Linked DNA regions of Diceros bicornis minor. The protein of the gene in region 1 interacts with the protein of each later gene in a pairwise test. Links are inferred from orthologs where the notes say so. Each region holds a gene or a part of one and is shown in the gene's direction. Other genes may lie near its edges.

Evidence for each region. The genes of interacting proteins can lie anywhere in the genome.
Region 2: the proteins of CLK4 (region 1) and UBL5 interact in a two-hybrid assay, tested with the Homo sapiens proteins (2 studies listed by BioGRID and IntAct). The link is inferred for Diceros bicornis minor from reciprocal best matches to the Homo sapiens genes CLK4 and UBL5.

The regions. Positions count from the first base shown.
Region 1 is NC_080740.1:91,392,403-91,400,916, reverse strand, and holds the start of CLK4 (dual specificity protein kinase CLK4), read left to right. Parts: upstream 1-4,922; 5' UTR 4,923-5,049; intron 5,050-6,574; exon of another isoform or gene 6,575-6,701; intron 6,702-8,072; coding exon of another isoform or gene 8,073-8,130; coding exon 8,131-8,233; intron 8,234-8,514. UniProt on the Homo sapiens protein: Dual specificity kinase acting on both serine/threonine and tyrosine-containing substrates.
Region 2 is NC_080769.1:9,228,396-9,235,496, reverse strand, and holds UBL5 (ubiquitin-like protein 5), read left to right. Parts: upstream 1-4,348; 5' UTR 4,349-4,453; intron 4,454-4,753; 5' UTR 4,754-4,764; coding exon 4,765-4,820; intron 4,821-5,021; coding exon 5,022-5,105; intron 5,106-5,268; coding exon 5,269-5,306; intron 5,307-5,782; coding exon 5,783-5,826; 3' UTR 5,827-5,947; downstream 5,948-7,101. UniProt on the Homo sapiens protein: Ubiquitin-like protein that plays a role in cell proliferation and sister chromatid cohesion by associating with spliceosomal proteins. Participates thereby in pre-mRNA splicing by maintaining spliceosome integrity.

The DNA.
Region 1 (8,514 bases):
TGAACTAACATCGGTGCCAATCTTCCTCTATTTTGTATGTGGGTCACCGTCACAGCATGGCTGCTGATGAGTGGTGTAGGTCCACACCCAGGAACCGAAGCTGGGCAGCCAAAGCAGAGCACACTGAACTTAGCCACTAGGCCACAGGGCCAGCCCTGTCACTTATTTAAATATATGTGTATCGTTGAAAATATGTAGTGTAGTTGTGGTTTTTAAAATTTTGCATAAATGATATGTGTTATAAATTACATTTTCTTTTTTACTCACCATTAAATTTTTAGGTCTATTTATATTGCTACATGTAAGTTTAGTTCATTGCTTTTAACTGATGTGCAGTATATAGCCATCTTACTTATCCATTGCCCCAGTGATGGACATCTACATTGTTGCCAATTTTTTCTTCCTGTCATGTCCAAATGTCAAAGCATCCTCACACATGTCTCCTTATGGGGTTAAAGAATTCCAGTGGGGTATCATCCCATTCTTCACACGGCCAGCTTCTCCTTTTCCTTTAGCCTCAACTAGAATGTCACCTCTGCCCAGAACCTTTCTGTTACCATCCCAGCTAAAGCAGGCCCTCCTCAGTTATTCTTTCAGTCCCTAGTTTGTTTCCTTCATAGCACATATAAAAAGTTAAAGTATTTTGCTTATTTCCATTTTTTTCTCTCTCTCCCACTGGAACCTAAGCTCCATGGAGCCAGGTATTTTGTCTGCCTTGTATACTTTTGTACCCCCAGCACCTAGGATAGCGTTTGGCATAAGGAGGAGCCCAATATGAATGAATGAAGAAAGAAAGGATGAATAGAAGAAGGGAGAAAGCTCTTGAGAGGAAATTTGAGGATGATCCCAACTTGGCTGACTGAGTCCTGAGGAAAGAAATGCCAGTAAGAAATTATCTATAACGGGAAATGATTGGATACCTTAAGAACTGTGGATTCTGATACTAAAGTTTGTTTTTGTTTCTGTGTTATACCCACCCTCCAGTATCCTCAAAATTTTAAGCCTATTCCTCATAAAAGCTATGTGTTAGTAGGCTTTGGAGAACAAAGGGGAAGAGGTCTGTGTCAACAGTTGGTACAAAATGGTTATGACATAAAGATAGCAACTGAAGATGAGACAGTGTAAGGGAGCTGAGGGATAGAACCAGGAATGGGAATTTGGAATAAGAGGTGACAGGAAGCTAGGAGAAAAGTTAACACCCTCTCCAAAAGTCATTAGAATACTCTAAAGGATACTGTACTTCCTATAATTGCATGAAATAGAAACTTGATATTTGTACATTAAAAGAAAGGGCAACACCAGATGATTCGAAGACAAATATATATTACATATTTTCATACTTTTATGTAGAGTACCATAATGTTCATAAGAAATTTAGGATTTAGGTAAATATATTTTCCTTCAATGGTTTCATTGGATGGTTGATTGTTCAGACTATGGCAGTGGGCGTTAAGAAACTCTAATTTGCTAACCTGGCTCCAAAGCCCTTTATTTGAAAGTAGCAGAAATGACACGGAGATTGGGATAACCAGCCTATCCTATTCCCTATAGAACTTCTAAATTAACTCACTCCCCAAACCCTTCTCTCCCCACCTCACCTACACACTGCAAAGTGCATTGTGTATCAGGGAATTCTTCTAGCCCTGTTTGGTGGGACTGAATCCTGCTTAATAGTGTGCTCTGTGAATCTAATCTCCTTACAACCAGTGTCAGGAAACGCTGGAGAAACCCCAGATGTTATCCACCTAAGGTGGCAGGCAGCATGGGACGCATGGGAGACCCTTTGTGACTTGCTGTTGACAGTGAATAAGGCACACTGGGACCTCTGATGATCTTGATGTGCTGGAGATAAATTGACCCATTGTTTCATTATGAGCCTTCGATGATATATTACCTTGGAAATTGGCTTTTTTAAGGCAAACTCCTTTGGTCTTGCTGAAAGATGGACTCAGTATGTTTTTCCCTAATGACTAAGTAAAGTAAGTTTCTAAGTACTTTGTTGTAGGAGTTGAAGCAGTCAGTAGAATGAGTTAAACAAAAGAGGTTTGGAGCAAGTAAGGCCTGAGACTGAAACTTGGTTCTGGTACTTGATAACTGTGACCTAGAGCAAGTAACCAATGATCGCTTTATAGGGTTGTTTAGATTATTAAATGAGATTATGAATATAAAGTAGTTAGAACATAGTGAGTATTTAATTGATGGATAAAAATAAAAAAAACTAATTGAATACAGATCGGTAATTATAAGCAACTTATAACAGAGGCTATAACTCTCTAAAGGTTTGTTTACATCTTTGTGAAGATTTATATAGATGATAAGCTTTTATTAAACTTAATTTACACAATTTAGACTTTTACTCTGGATCTCTGCTTTCATAGATGACTATATTCTATGTCTGAAGTCAAGCATGTAGAATATCTGTGCTAGAATATATGATAAGAATATTCCTCTGGTTGTTCTTCAAAGCTAAGATTCTTTAAACATGGTTTAACTTAAGGTTTTCTTGGACATATTTATTCTTGTGTAGAGATGAAGCTACTGGATTAGGCAGTTTTTCCAGTGTTGGTAGTGGATTCTCAGAAATTTAGACCTTTTCATTAAGTCTTCTGACCAATGGTGTTCATTTTCCAGGTAACTGACTTAATAGAAATAGTTGAGGCTGCCATGTAAGATTGTTAAGCTAACTCGCGCAAGGACTCATTCTACTTTTGATTTAACCACTTTGGAACTTTAGCAAATGGCCAAAAGCAATTTACGTAAACAACGTAATGGGCACTGAGATACCAAAGAATATAAATCAGGTCCCTGTCTCCAGTCAAAACACAGAAGCCACACAGAGCAGTTAGGAGCACCACAGTGCTGCATCACACGTCATAGACACACTAGGGATAGGATATTCTCAACCTCACTTGGATCACTACACACTTTGAAATGTTAGTCCTTTTGGTGGCACACAAATTAAAATACTCCAAATGACACTAAAACAAGATAGCAGTAACTACAAAGCAGAGTCCACTATTGGGTAACACTGTTTTGTGACATATATAAATGCCTCTGTAGGTGGCCGTTCCACTTGGCTGCCTTTTAACTTATGTTGCTGTTTGAGAACTGTGCACTGTCCTGACCATATTCTCTTACATCCTCACAAGACTAAGATCTCTCATACTCCAGCCAAAAGGGGAACTATCTTTGGTGCCAGCTTGAATTTATGCCTCTATGTGCAGCAAGCTGAGCCTCATTTTACCTTGCAAGATGGCACAGTCCACTCAGCTCAACATTCCATCTGATAGATGTCCCTGAAACGGCATGTGTAATCAGTTGTAGAACCAATAAATATCACTCTTTGGGCAAAATTGGTTGGCTTACCTGGGTGGCTCCAGAGACACCAGTGTGCCTTGGCCAACTGTTTGAGGACCTTATCTTTAACTGGAGTAGTCAAGAGAAGGAGACGGGCGGGAACCGATGTAGTCAGGGACAGCATCTTAGAGATGGACCTTGAAGGATGGGTGAGATTTAAATTTGTAGATGCAGAAATGGTGGCTATTCCAGATGAGGAGAATAGTATTGTTTGTCTCATTCTGCAGCATAAAAAATTTTCATTTCCAATTGTCTTTGCAACTGCACTTCACTTCTTGAAGTGGGGTACAATCTCCATGAGAAATCACATTTTGAAGTGTAGCACAATCTCGAGAATTCCATTTATCCAAAGTACACAGCACAAGTTTCTATGATGTTAGATCACTAAATTGCATTGCCCTCCTTTCACTTAACAAGGTATAAGAGCTCAGGTCTCCCACATGCTATTGGGTTTATGCCACAACAGTCCAACCCTGCCCTCCCAAATTTGATTTCTGGCTTTCCTTTTTATCCAGGGAATCCTGGTCAGAATACAGAGACCCCTTGGCACTTCTCAGTGCTAACCAGACCCAACCCCTTCCCAGCATCCGGCACTGTCAACTTTTCCCTCATTTAAGCCCCTCTCTCCCTTGCTCTCTCTGTACCGTACTCTTGGTTCTCCTCTACTTCTGATCATTCCTTCTCAGGCTCTTTTCCTCTGTGCCCTAAAAGTGTTCCCAAAGGCGCAGACTTGGACCCTTTTCTCTCTCCTCTACACACTCACAATTGGGGAACTGTCTAGGGAGTCTTAGAACTGCAAAATACTTTATTTGAGCTAAGCAAGCCCCTTAGTGGATGCTCACCAGCTCTCAGACGTTACTTTGTCTTGATTAAATAAAACCGACCCACAGGGACAAATAACAGGGAGAACTTCGTTATGGAAACTTCCAGCTACCATATCTGCTCGGGAGGCAGGGATTATAACAGAAAGAACCTTGTAAATAGTGTCAATTGAAACTTCCTCGTTTTCTGTTGCGTCCTTCTGATTAGGAGCACAGGCACTCAAAAGATAAGCACCCTCGAACATGTTTTCCGAGACATCCTCTTTATGCGACTCCATTTTATACTGGAAGCCCCAAGCGGGCTGGACTACACGTATCGGGTTCACGGTGTGGGGGCTCATCTCCTGCGTGTCGGCTCTGTCTGCAGTTGAGGGTTGGCAGTCAAAGCGCGGTGGTGTGACCCGCTTGAGCCGGAGAGCAGGAAACGAGGCCTCGGCTGCTCTGCCGAGGGATGCCGCCCTCAAGGTAACTCCACCTGAAACAGCAGACAGGTGCCACAGGACTAGAGCAGGCCGCAGGCTTTCCCTCCCAGCTTCACCCACATTGTCCCTGAACGAAAACAACCTGAGAGGTCGCCCGTGCCCCACCAGGCCTCTGGGCGAGAACGTCCCGGACCGCGCAGCCGCAGTGTGGAGGGCCAGGCCCACCCCGGAAGACACACGGAGCCCCGCCCCTTACGGGGAGCGGCGGGAGCGCGCGAGGCTCTGTCACGCAGTCGCGTCCGCGCAGCGTAGGTGACGCTAGAGGCCGCCTCCGGGGTTGAAGTCAGAGCATTGCCGCCATTTTGTCGAGTGTTTGTCGCAGCGGCTGGAGAGAGAAGACGGCGGTTTGGCGACGTTTCTCGGTCAAAGGGCCTTTTGCCTTTGTGGAGGTAAGGTTTCGTGTGGGGTGTGCTGGGCTGGCAGGTTTCCCAGTGTCTTGTCTCGAAGCCAGGAGTGGGAGAAACGACCGGGCTCCGGGCCTCGGCCACTGGGGTTCCTTCGGGGCGCCGGTCCGCTGCTGGCCTTTAAAAGCTAAAGTTGCCCAGGTGTCGTGGTAGATTTAGCGTTCTGGGGCAGAGGGCCGCGGTTCTGCCGCTGGTCTTTTTCTGAGGGCCCTGGCCGCTCGCGTCGCGGCTCTGGAGGTCTGGGCTTGTTCCGCCAGCGAGAGCGAGGACCTGTCCGGAGACCCTCGAGAGCCGCCCCCAGGGGTGTGTTGTCGGAGGTTAAGTTCTCTCTTGGTTGCTTGGTCTCCGCCGTTTGTCGCCTTTAGGGGCTGTTCCCGAGTCAGACAGTTTCTCCCTCCCTGGGGGTGTGCCAGAGGCCCTCGCCAGGTGCCCCGGGGCGGAGAGGCGGGGTGGGACTGGGCGTCCAAGGAACGGCAAGTCCGCAAGTGCAGGTGCGGGAATTTAGCTCGTGCTTGTGAGACGTGGAAATGTGGGGAGGTTCGTCCTTTGTGCGACACAGCTTTTTTCAAGTTGGAGCATACCATTGTTGCAGCAGGTCTGTTTTTCTGATGCTTTTGCATCGTATTATCGTTGATTAAGTAGACGCGATGTGCTGCTTCGATCCTTGGGAAACAGCCCTCCCAACTGACCGTGCCAGCCACCTGGTGTTAAAGCTGTCCTTGTATGATTTCGCTCCATACACACCCCCTACAGGCTTCTTGTTACCCATTAAATGCATTCCTCCTGGAGCGATCTAATCATAACTTTAACCTGTTTCGATTTTTTTAAGCCATATACAGAGCGTGAAATTGTCAGGTATTAAAGGGCAGTAGAGGATCAGATTTCTAATACGGATATGTATACATTTCGGATCCATTGTGCCTGATGTTTTTGTTTAGAATCGAGTGATTCTAGCGCGTTGGATTCTTTATTAATTAGAGGTAAGGTATGTGAAGGAACCTTATCCGTAGAACATGAGTTGGGGATTCTCTTTGCCTCCTGAGAAAATATTTCTAAACATTTCGGGGGGGGGGGTCTTCCCAACAGCTGAATTAAATTTAAAGTAGCGAATTTGACTAGAGAAATAAAAATCTTTGGCTCTGCCAAGATGCTTATTCTTATTTTAATATTTACATATTGATAACTTTAAGAATTCTGCCTTGTTAGAGGTGAGCTGGCTGTGGCAGACTGACAGAAGGAGAAAAAAACTAAAGCAAACACATGTTTTGCAAGAACTGCGTAATAATGGATGGTCATAATAATAACGCTGTTATCAGATGTTGTAATTTTGCTTGCAGATGCTTAACTGTGCTGTTTTAAAGAGTTCCTAATGTGGGTGTTTTTTTTTTTTTTTTCAATTTTGGTAATTGAAGGAAGGATCAGAAGAATTCTACTATAAATAAAAAATTCTTTTGGTGGCTCTTCTGATGGCTTTTTGCGTCAAGTTAATTTGAAGTGTCATTCATTTCAGTTTCCCATATTGAAGTGACTCTACATCAAACCAAAATTCTCAGTTAATTTCCAGTGAAAAGTTTAACAGGAGTTTTGGGATTTTTGTTTGAAGTGACCAATGCCTTCTTCTCGTTTATTTAAGCAAGGTAAAAGAGAAGCTACATTATCAGAAGGGTGCTTGATGGGCATAGAATTAGAATCAGCAAGAGAAGTCAGTCAAAAGGTTTGAATATTTGGTGGTATCAGGCACTAAAGGCATGATACATAATTTTCTTAGGGAATACCTCCCAGGAGAATTGAAGCTGCCTCATTTCAAAGTCTTTTTTTAATCCATGTGAAATTGTGTAACTGTTTACATGAGTTTGCTTGTTGAATAAGTCATTTGGGCAAGCTGAAAGAGGTTAACTAAGCTGGTTTTGCTCCATTTTACCTTTTTTCAGCTCCTTGCTGAGTTGTGAACTCACTCTGTTTTAGCAGAGTTTGGACATCATTGTTACAAACTTAAGTGCTTTGCAAAGTATTAAGATGGGGAGAGGCAGATAGGGATTACATTGTTTGAACACAGATAGGGAGCCTGGAAGGGTACTATGTATAAGAGGTTGTAGATGGAGTCCAGGAATTGTCACCATTATCATCTGATTTGATTGTGACTATGTGCATCCTTGTAGGTTGAATTCTTCTTCAGAGTCATCCCAGATCTACAACAAATATGTTTTAATTTTAAGAATAACTGTAGGATAGAGAAAATGAGTTCATAAAATAATCTTTATTGCCTTTCCAGTTTCTCTGTTGAATACTGTGCTATTGTTTTGGTTTTTTTTTCCTTTCAAAGCTTGGAGTCATTTTGAGATTGAGAAAGAAATTCTCGAGTATTTGAAAAAAAGAAGCTCTTTACTTTTAAAACAAAGTCACCGCCTATATTTAGTATCCTTAAGTGTTTCCCTGACTTCAGTTATTTGTATTACAGTATTTTGCCAAAGCTGCATGACACTTGTGATATTATTTCTCTTTAAATTAGCTCACATCTTAAAGTTAACATTTTTGAAAAGAAATCATATCAATAACTTAATTAAGAGATCAGTAATAATTTACCATAAAAAGGAGGTAATGATAAAATAAAATCAAAAAAGTTATTAATTTCCAGCTAGATATTGTTGTCTGCTGAAGGCTCTAAGCCTAAACCCTGTCTCTCTTTATTTTTAAAATGGCAGTTAGCAAGTGTTAGTTGAAGACAAGCAGCAAGCTGAGAATTTTTCCAGAAGAATTAAAAGAAACTGTATTAAGGTCTCACAGTGTTGTCATCATTTAGTACTAGATCTGTATGCCACTTATAATCATGTGACGTACCGATGGACTAGTGCCCCATGCCTTGAGAAACATTACCTACAAAGATTTTAGAACCTGTATGACTTTTTGTGCTGGGTGTTAATATTTCAATAGCATTAATGTATAATGTCTTATTTACTAAACATGACCATCTGTAACCTCCACAACTCACTTTGCATTTCCATTAACAGATGCGGCATTCCAAAAGAACTCACTGCCCTGATTGGGATAGTAGAGAAAGCTGGGGACATGAAAGCTACAGTGGAAGTCACAAACGGAAGAGGAGATCCCATAGTAGTACGCAAGAGAACAGACATTGTAAACCACATCACCAGTTTAAAGACTCTGATTGGTAAATTACTCTTGAACTAGTAGCATTTTAACACTAATAGTTTTAATGATTTGTTGTTAGCTTATATAGCTTTCATCTGTCAAATTGTTTTATAATTCAGTCAACAAATATTGAGGACATAGTTAATGAGTGCCTGTTATAGGCTAGACACTATATAGGTGCTGAAGCTACAGCTGTGAGTAAAACAGTCTCTACCCTCATATATCTGTGTCTCTGGGAGTGATGGGAGACAGTTGATTGGATACTAGCTGCCATTAATGTAGTTGAGAAGATGAGACACA
Region 2 (7,101 bases), on another chromosome or scaffold:
ATTAATGACAACTGAAAGATCTGGGTATAGGGCGTTGCTCCGGTCTCTGATGCATATCCAGTAAAACAAAAGACTATCAGGAACTAAACAGACTATCAGGAACAGATATCTGCTCCCACCCAGAGATCAGATGGATGCCCCCACCCAGAGACCAGATGCCTCCCCCACCAGGAGACCAGCCCCCTATATAACTGGCCTGTAATCTTTGTGCTGTAAGATGGCTTTTTTAGGTCATGAGTTGGCCGTCTTCCCTCTTGCTAGCAAGCTGTAATAAAAAGTCCTTTCTCTCCTACCACCTTGCCTCTTGACTATTGGCATGTCTTGCAGCAGGCAGAAGACGCCCCCTTGGGCAGTAACAAGTGCATATAGTTTGATCCCACTGGATATATATATCTCTCTCTCTCTCTCCAATAAAATGCATACACAATTTATAATGTGTTTTGCTTTATACATAAAGGCCTATATAAAAACTAAGTTGTTTGTTTCTGCTCTTTGACATAACTTAACCCATTGCATGTACTTGAAAATATAAAGTCCCTATCTCCATTGGAACATGTTATTAACATCTGAAAAATTTTGTTATCTTCTTGGGAGACTCCATATCACACATGTTTGAAGATGCAGAGACTCAGAAATGGAGACTTTTAATGGTGGTTGCCCCTGGGGAGAGGCTGGGTCTGGAGAGTAAGGAGACTTTATGTTGCTGTATATACACTTTTGTGCTGCTTGCATTTTTGCCGTGTGGAAGTAGTACCTTAAAAAAAAAAAAGTGGGGCCAGCCCAGTGGCATAGTGGTTGACTTCATGCTCTGCTTCATAGGACTGGGGTTCGCGGGTTTGGATCCTACATGCCACTCATCAAGCCATGCTGTGGCAGCATCCCACTTACAAAACAGAGGAAGACTGGCAACAGATGCTAGCTCAGGGCTAATCTTACCAAAAAAAAAAAAAAAAAAAAAAAAACAAACAACAAAATAAATCAAACCCCTTTGATATTCCTCCTCAAACAAGAGCACAGAAAAAGTGCTTCATGCTTTGGCAGCCGTCTTGTGCCTGTGGAAGGAAAGACCAAAAGAATCGCACAGAGATCAAGCCACTTGCCAGGGCCACAAGCTCAGATCTTTCTTTCTTTCTTTTTTTTTTTTAAATAGTCTTTATTGGTTTACACCACGTGCAGCCAGCTCAGAACAAGACGAATGAACAATGGGCTGAGAAGCAGTGTTCCTGAAGGAACAGCGCTTGGCTAGGGGGTCCTTCTAGTTTTGTTTTGTTTTGTTTTGTTTTGTTTTGTTTTGTTTTGTTTTGTTTTGTTTTGTTGGTGAGGGAGATTGGTCCTGAGTTAACATCTATGCCCATCTTCCTCTATTTTGTATGTGGGACGCCGCCACAGCATGGCTTGATGAGTGGTGTGTCGGTCCACACCTGGGATCCCGGGCTGAACCCCGGGACGCCAAAGTGGCGCACATGAACTTAACCACTATGCCACCAGGCCGGCCCCAGCATGGATCTCTCTGGTGCCAGATCCTGGGCCTCTACCACAGTGCTGCATGGTCATGATTCCCTCTGGAAAGCCCCCACCATCATGCAGGGGCAATGTCTTCTCTGCTCCCAGCGTCTTGGGCTTCCTCCTCACAGCACCTGACACGCTGTATTGCAAGGACCTATTCACTTGTTTCCTTCTTTCCTTGTCTTCCTCCTCTATCAGACTGAATTCTGGGGTGGCAGGTCAGCCTTGCTCACTGCCATATCTCCAAGGCCTGCTGCCCTGCTAAGAGATTGGGAGAAAGGACTTCCTGAGCAACTCGCTCCACCCCTAGGATTATTTCTCCTCTGGTGAACCCTGGGTGGGATGGCTGCCTTTAAGTTTGGCAGAACCCAGGTGTCCCTGCCCCCGGCTCAGTTACACCGGTTCCTTAGAACCATCTCCTGCCCCATCAGCACACAGCAGTGGAGAGAAGAGATCCCCGCATTCTGATCCTCTGGGTCAGAATCCCAGGAAACAAGAGGGCAAAGGGGGCCTGCCAGCTGGCAACTTGGGTCGTGACCCAGCACTTTTCCCTTCTGAGAAGCACCTTCCTCCTCCTAGAAGGAGCAGCTCTGACAGCAGATCCGTTTGCCGCCCAGACAGAGTGATGGGGCTGCCCTAGCCCCTCAAAGGGCAGTCACTGAGTCCCTTCATGCGAAGCCCAGAATTATAAGTACCAGGGTGTGTGTAGGGGGTGGGGGACAAGGTCTCTTGTCTCCTGAGGCTCCTCCCCCTCCCACCTGGGTCCAGGAGAGGGAGTCAGTGCTGTCTAGTCCTGGGACTTCTCACTGCCCACTCCCTACTCCCTCCTCAGGATGGCTTAGCCCAGCTGGGGCTGGCAGGCCCCCCAGTAGATCCCCCCACTCCCCATGGAGCCCAAGCCCCCAACAATCCCAGACTTTATTTTCCTCCCCCTTCAGCAGCACTCCCCATCCCCTTCCAATCAGCCCCAGCCTGTAACTCAGCATCACGATCCCGTGCTTGAGCTATCTTTGAATCAAACATCGAGAAATTAGAACTTCTTTTTTTAAAAAAAAAAAGACTAACATTTACTTTTTTCCCAATTACCAAAGTAACATATGTTCATCGCAGATAATCTGGGAAAACACCAAAAAGCAGCAAAGAGGAAAATGAGCCTCAGCAATTCCACCATCTAGTGGCAACCACCATCAACACCTTGGGTGACCCAGTATTTCTTTTTTATAATTTTTATTTATTTTTTTTTCCCCAAAGCCCCGGTAGATAGTTGTATGTCATAGCTGCACATCCTTCTAGTTGCTGTATGTGGGACGCAGCCTCAGCACGGCCGGAGAAGCGGTGCGTCGGTGCGAGCCCGGGATCCGAACACAGGCCACCAGTAGCAGAGCGCACGCACTGAACCGCTAAGTCACAGGGCCGGCCCTGACCCAGAAATACCGACCCAGTATTTCTATGTGAATGCAAAGATGTGCTCCTTCCAAACTTCCTCAGGCACATCAATCCCCTCAGCTCACCCTTGACCTTCTGACCTCCCCTCTTGCCCCATATGTCTTCTGCAAACTATTAGAGGATTGTCAGAGGCTGGTCCCAAATCAATCCTTACTACAATCCTAGGGTGGGAATTGTTACCCGCTTTCCATAGATGAGAAAAATGAGAATCAGAGAGTGGAAGCGTCTTGCTTGTGACCATACAGCTTAATATGAAGGGGTGAGGTTGGGGTTTCGACTCATCTGCCTGGATCCAAAGCCTGTGTCTCCAATGTGAATAAGCTTTCCCTTCAGATTCCTTGCCCTCTCAAGCCCACTCTGAGGGACTCTGAAGAGGATCGAGGAACCACGGAAAGTTCTGAGGCAGGAAGGCCCCTGAGCCTAGAATTTGTGGTAGGGTCTCTTGGGCCAGCTCCCTAAGGCAGAGCAGCTCCAACTGGGTCACAGAGCGTCTACCCTTTCCCTATTACGTCTTCCGCCTAATCTCACATCCTAGTTTGAGAAGGTGGATTGGGTGATTCAGAAGTGGTGGCCCCTCTTGGGAGTGAATCCCTTTAGGCTCCCCAAACCGCACAATCCTGCCTGCTGACAAGGAACAGTTGACCAGTTCCATTAGCAGCTGTTCGGTTGAACTTAGAGAGGGGGGGCCCCTGTCCGGCCCTGGGGAACCACACCAGGGGGGCTACTTTGGGGCTGCAAGGCAAGGTTGAGATCTGGTACAAGGCGCCCCCTGCCGGGCGGGAGCGACCTTCCTGGAAGAGAGCCCTGGGAGGTTTTGCACTTGTGCCCTTTCCAGCTGCCTCCCGGTGTTGTAGGTTGGTGTGCAACGTCCTATCTAATAAGTGCTGGTTTCCAGGCCAGGATCAGGCGGCTCCTTCGCTTGTGGACTGTGGTCTGCACCCCAGGAATCCCGGGGGGGGGGGCCGAAATAGGAGGCATCCCGCCCTGAATGAAGGCAGGGGGCCGGACGCCATGACTACAGTACTCGACCCAGGCTCTCCATGGCCCCGAAGCTACAATAAGAGGAATCGTCAGGCTCAGGAACGAGAGGTCACCCCCTCCCCCCGGGATGTCCCCCGAGCCTCCCTGGCGTCCCCACCAGACGCCACACAGTCGGTGTCTCCCCATAGCGAAAGGGCCTCAATTAACGGCTTCCAAACGGCTGGGCGCTGGCCCCTGACCTCTGACTCTCCCTCGGTGCCCCTTCCCCAGCCCCGCACAGCCCGGGACCCCCAATTGGCCCCCTGCACCGAAGGCAGGTGTCTTCCAGCCCAGGATCGGGAACCCAAAGCCCGGCCTGGGGCCGGGAACGACCCGGCCCGGTGTTGACGGACACCGGGAGGAGCAGAGCCGGGAGCTTCCGGCGGCGCACTTCCGCTTCCGGCTCTCAGCGTCGATTCTGGCCCTGGCTCTGCCCTCGAGCGAGGAGGTTGTGGCGTCGGCTGGTTCCAGGCGATTGGAGGTGAGGGGGCCAGGTGGAGAGGTTCGGAGTCGGGGAAGGCTGAGGGGACCCGGCCGTCAAGGGTCTGCGGGCCGGCGAGAGGCGAGGCCGGGCCTGCGGGCGACCTGAATGGCGGCGGGGCGGGGAGGGGGTGGCGCGACTGCTCGGGGTCTGCGATCCTGGGAAACGGGACCTGGGGCCCGGGAGGACTCGGGTCTGGGGGTTGGGAGGGCGAACGTAAGACTCAGTAACCGGGGGTCTTGGGGCCTGGGAGACCCCTGAAGTCCGACTCTGGGGCCCCTCACCCCCCGCCCTGTGTAGCTGCAGACAGGATGATCGAGGTTGTCTGCAACGACCGTCTGGGGAAGAAGGTCCGCGTTAAGTGCAAGTATCCACTGGCGGCCGAGAGGCAGTGGTCCCTGGGAGCTTGGCATGAGCCAGGCAACTCAGCCTGTTTTGTGGGGTGATTTTAGTTAAAGCCGGGAGAGGGGGTGGATGGGGTCCTGGCAGCGTGCATTTAGCCCTGGAATGTCCTCTTCCGCGTTCTACTTCCCGCCGCCTTCCATTTCCTTAACTCCTCTGCGCCCAGCACGGATGACACCATCGGGGACCTTAAGAAGCTGATCGCAGCCCAAACTGGCACCCGTTGGAACAAGATCGTCCTTAAGAAGTGGTGAGTGCAGTGGCAGAGCTGGGGGCCGGACAGGACTGGGCCAGAAGGTTTTGGTTGGGGGTGCGCTGCTGGCTGCCCTTTGCTTACAGCAGGGCTTCCTCAGCCTGCCTCCGGGGTGAAGAGCCGCCTGAGGCGTCTGTCTGAAAGGTTTCTTTCCCCGTAGGTACACGATCTTTAAGGATCACGTGTCTCTGGGGGACTGTATCCTTTGTGTGACTTCTTGAGGAAGAGTGTGCATACCCAGACTTGGTTCTTTTTGCTCAATACCGGAGTCTATGTGACATAATGCACATAACGTGTTTAACTTAGTGTGTGGCACATGGTAAGAACTTAGAAAATGAGAGCCATGTCATTATTTTGTTGGGGGAGGTGGGCGGTAGACGTGTGAGGTATTTTGACTCAGCTTAGAAGACACTTTAAGGTCAAAATATTTATTACTGAGCTCCGCCCGGGTGTGAAGAGGAGGTCAGGGTGGAGTGAGACTTGGGCATGTCTGTTGTGCAGAAGGAACAGGAACGTTTTTTATAGTTTGGATTCTCTCCAAATCAAAAGGAGCCAGTCCCAAACGGCTTCCTTGGTCCTGGGCTGAGTCCTCAGTTCCCCTTGACCCAGGTGTGAGAGATGAGAGGGGTGGGGATGGAGCCCACAGTGAGGATTCCTTAACCCCTTTACTTCAGATGAAATCCATGATGGCATGAACTTGGAGCTTTATTACCAATAGAGCAGAATTTCTTCCCCCTGCCCTGCTCTCCCCTCTTTTCTCTTTTCTCCCACCCTCACCCCTCACACTGGTATGGATGCTTGTTTTTAAAGACTCATGTTAATAAAAACTGAGAAGCTCCTTCCTTGTTGTCATCTTTGAGTGAGGGCTGTCTAACGAGGGGAGGGTTGGTATCTGGTCGTCACTCTCTCTCAGTACCCAGCTGCTCCATAAGAGGTCACGAAGGAGGAAGAGTCAGCCAGCAGACTGGGAGCCTGAGTGGAAGCCCAGAGTGCTGGGGCTTGCCATGGGTCTCTGAAGGTCACGAGATCCTGGGATTATTGTCATCCTAAAAGACCAAGTTGCCTCTGAGTAGGGACCAAGTTGCCTCTGAGTAGGGACAGTATGTACTAGTTAGGGATACAAGTTCTGGATTCAGACCGACTGTGGGTGGAATCCCAGCTCTGCCACCAACAGTGACCCTGGGCTAGTTACTTAACTTCCCTAAGCCTTCATTTCCTTATCCAAACTGGAAGTGATGGTGCGTACTTCACTGGTGTGTTGTGAAGTGTAGATGAGAGAAAGCCTGGGTAAGCATCTCCAGTTCCTGGCACTTATGAAATCCTAGTGGACAGAGCGAGGCAGTGTGCCATAGGCTGAATTTTGACTGATTTAGCAGTGAGATTTGGGGAAGTCAGCCTCTCTGATACTGTTTCCTCCTCTCAAAAGGGGCACCATGATGGCGCCCGCATCTCGATGAGATACTGCAGTTAAAACAGCAGGATGCCTGGCACATAGTGTTGTTAGCTCCAGCCTTCCCCCAGGTGTGAGTACACAGGACACCAAAAACATCTCTGTTCCCTTGTCCCCAGATCCTGGGGTTGACCTTGGCCCTGGCCTTTCCCAGAGCCCTCCATTCTGGAGCCCTTCTCCAGAACATCACCTAGAACCTTGCTCCATCCCTCTTCAGTACATGAACAAGTCCAAGTCCAGCCCACTGCTCCTGCCCGCCCCCCAAGCTCCATCCAGCCTTCTGCCTTCCTTTCGCCACCAAGCTTCTTGGGAGGTGGACCTGCTGGCTGCCTGGGATGCTGCTGGCCTGAGGTCCATTGAGGATGGTCTCTCCTCGGTCTCCATGAGTCACCTCCCTACCCACCCCCCCGGCTTCCCTCCTGTCCCTAGGACTCCACTTCCTTCTGACATGTCAGAAATGTCTGCTTACTCTTAATGTCTGGTACCCTTACTCTTCCTACTCTTAGAGCTCAGTCTCCCCCTTAGCGTCTGTTTAAAAACAAA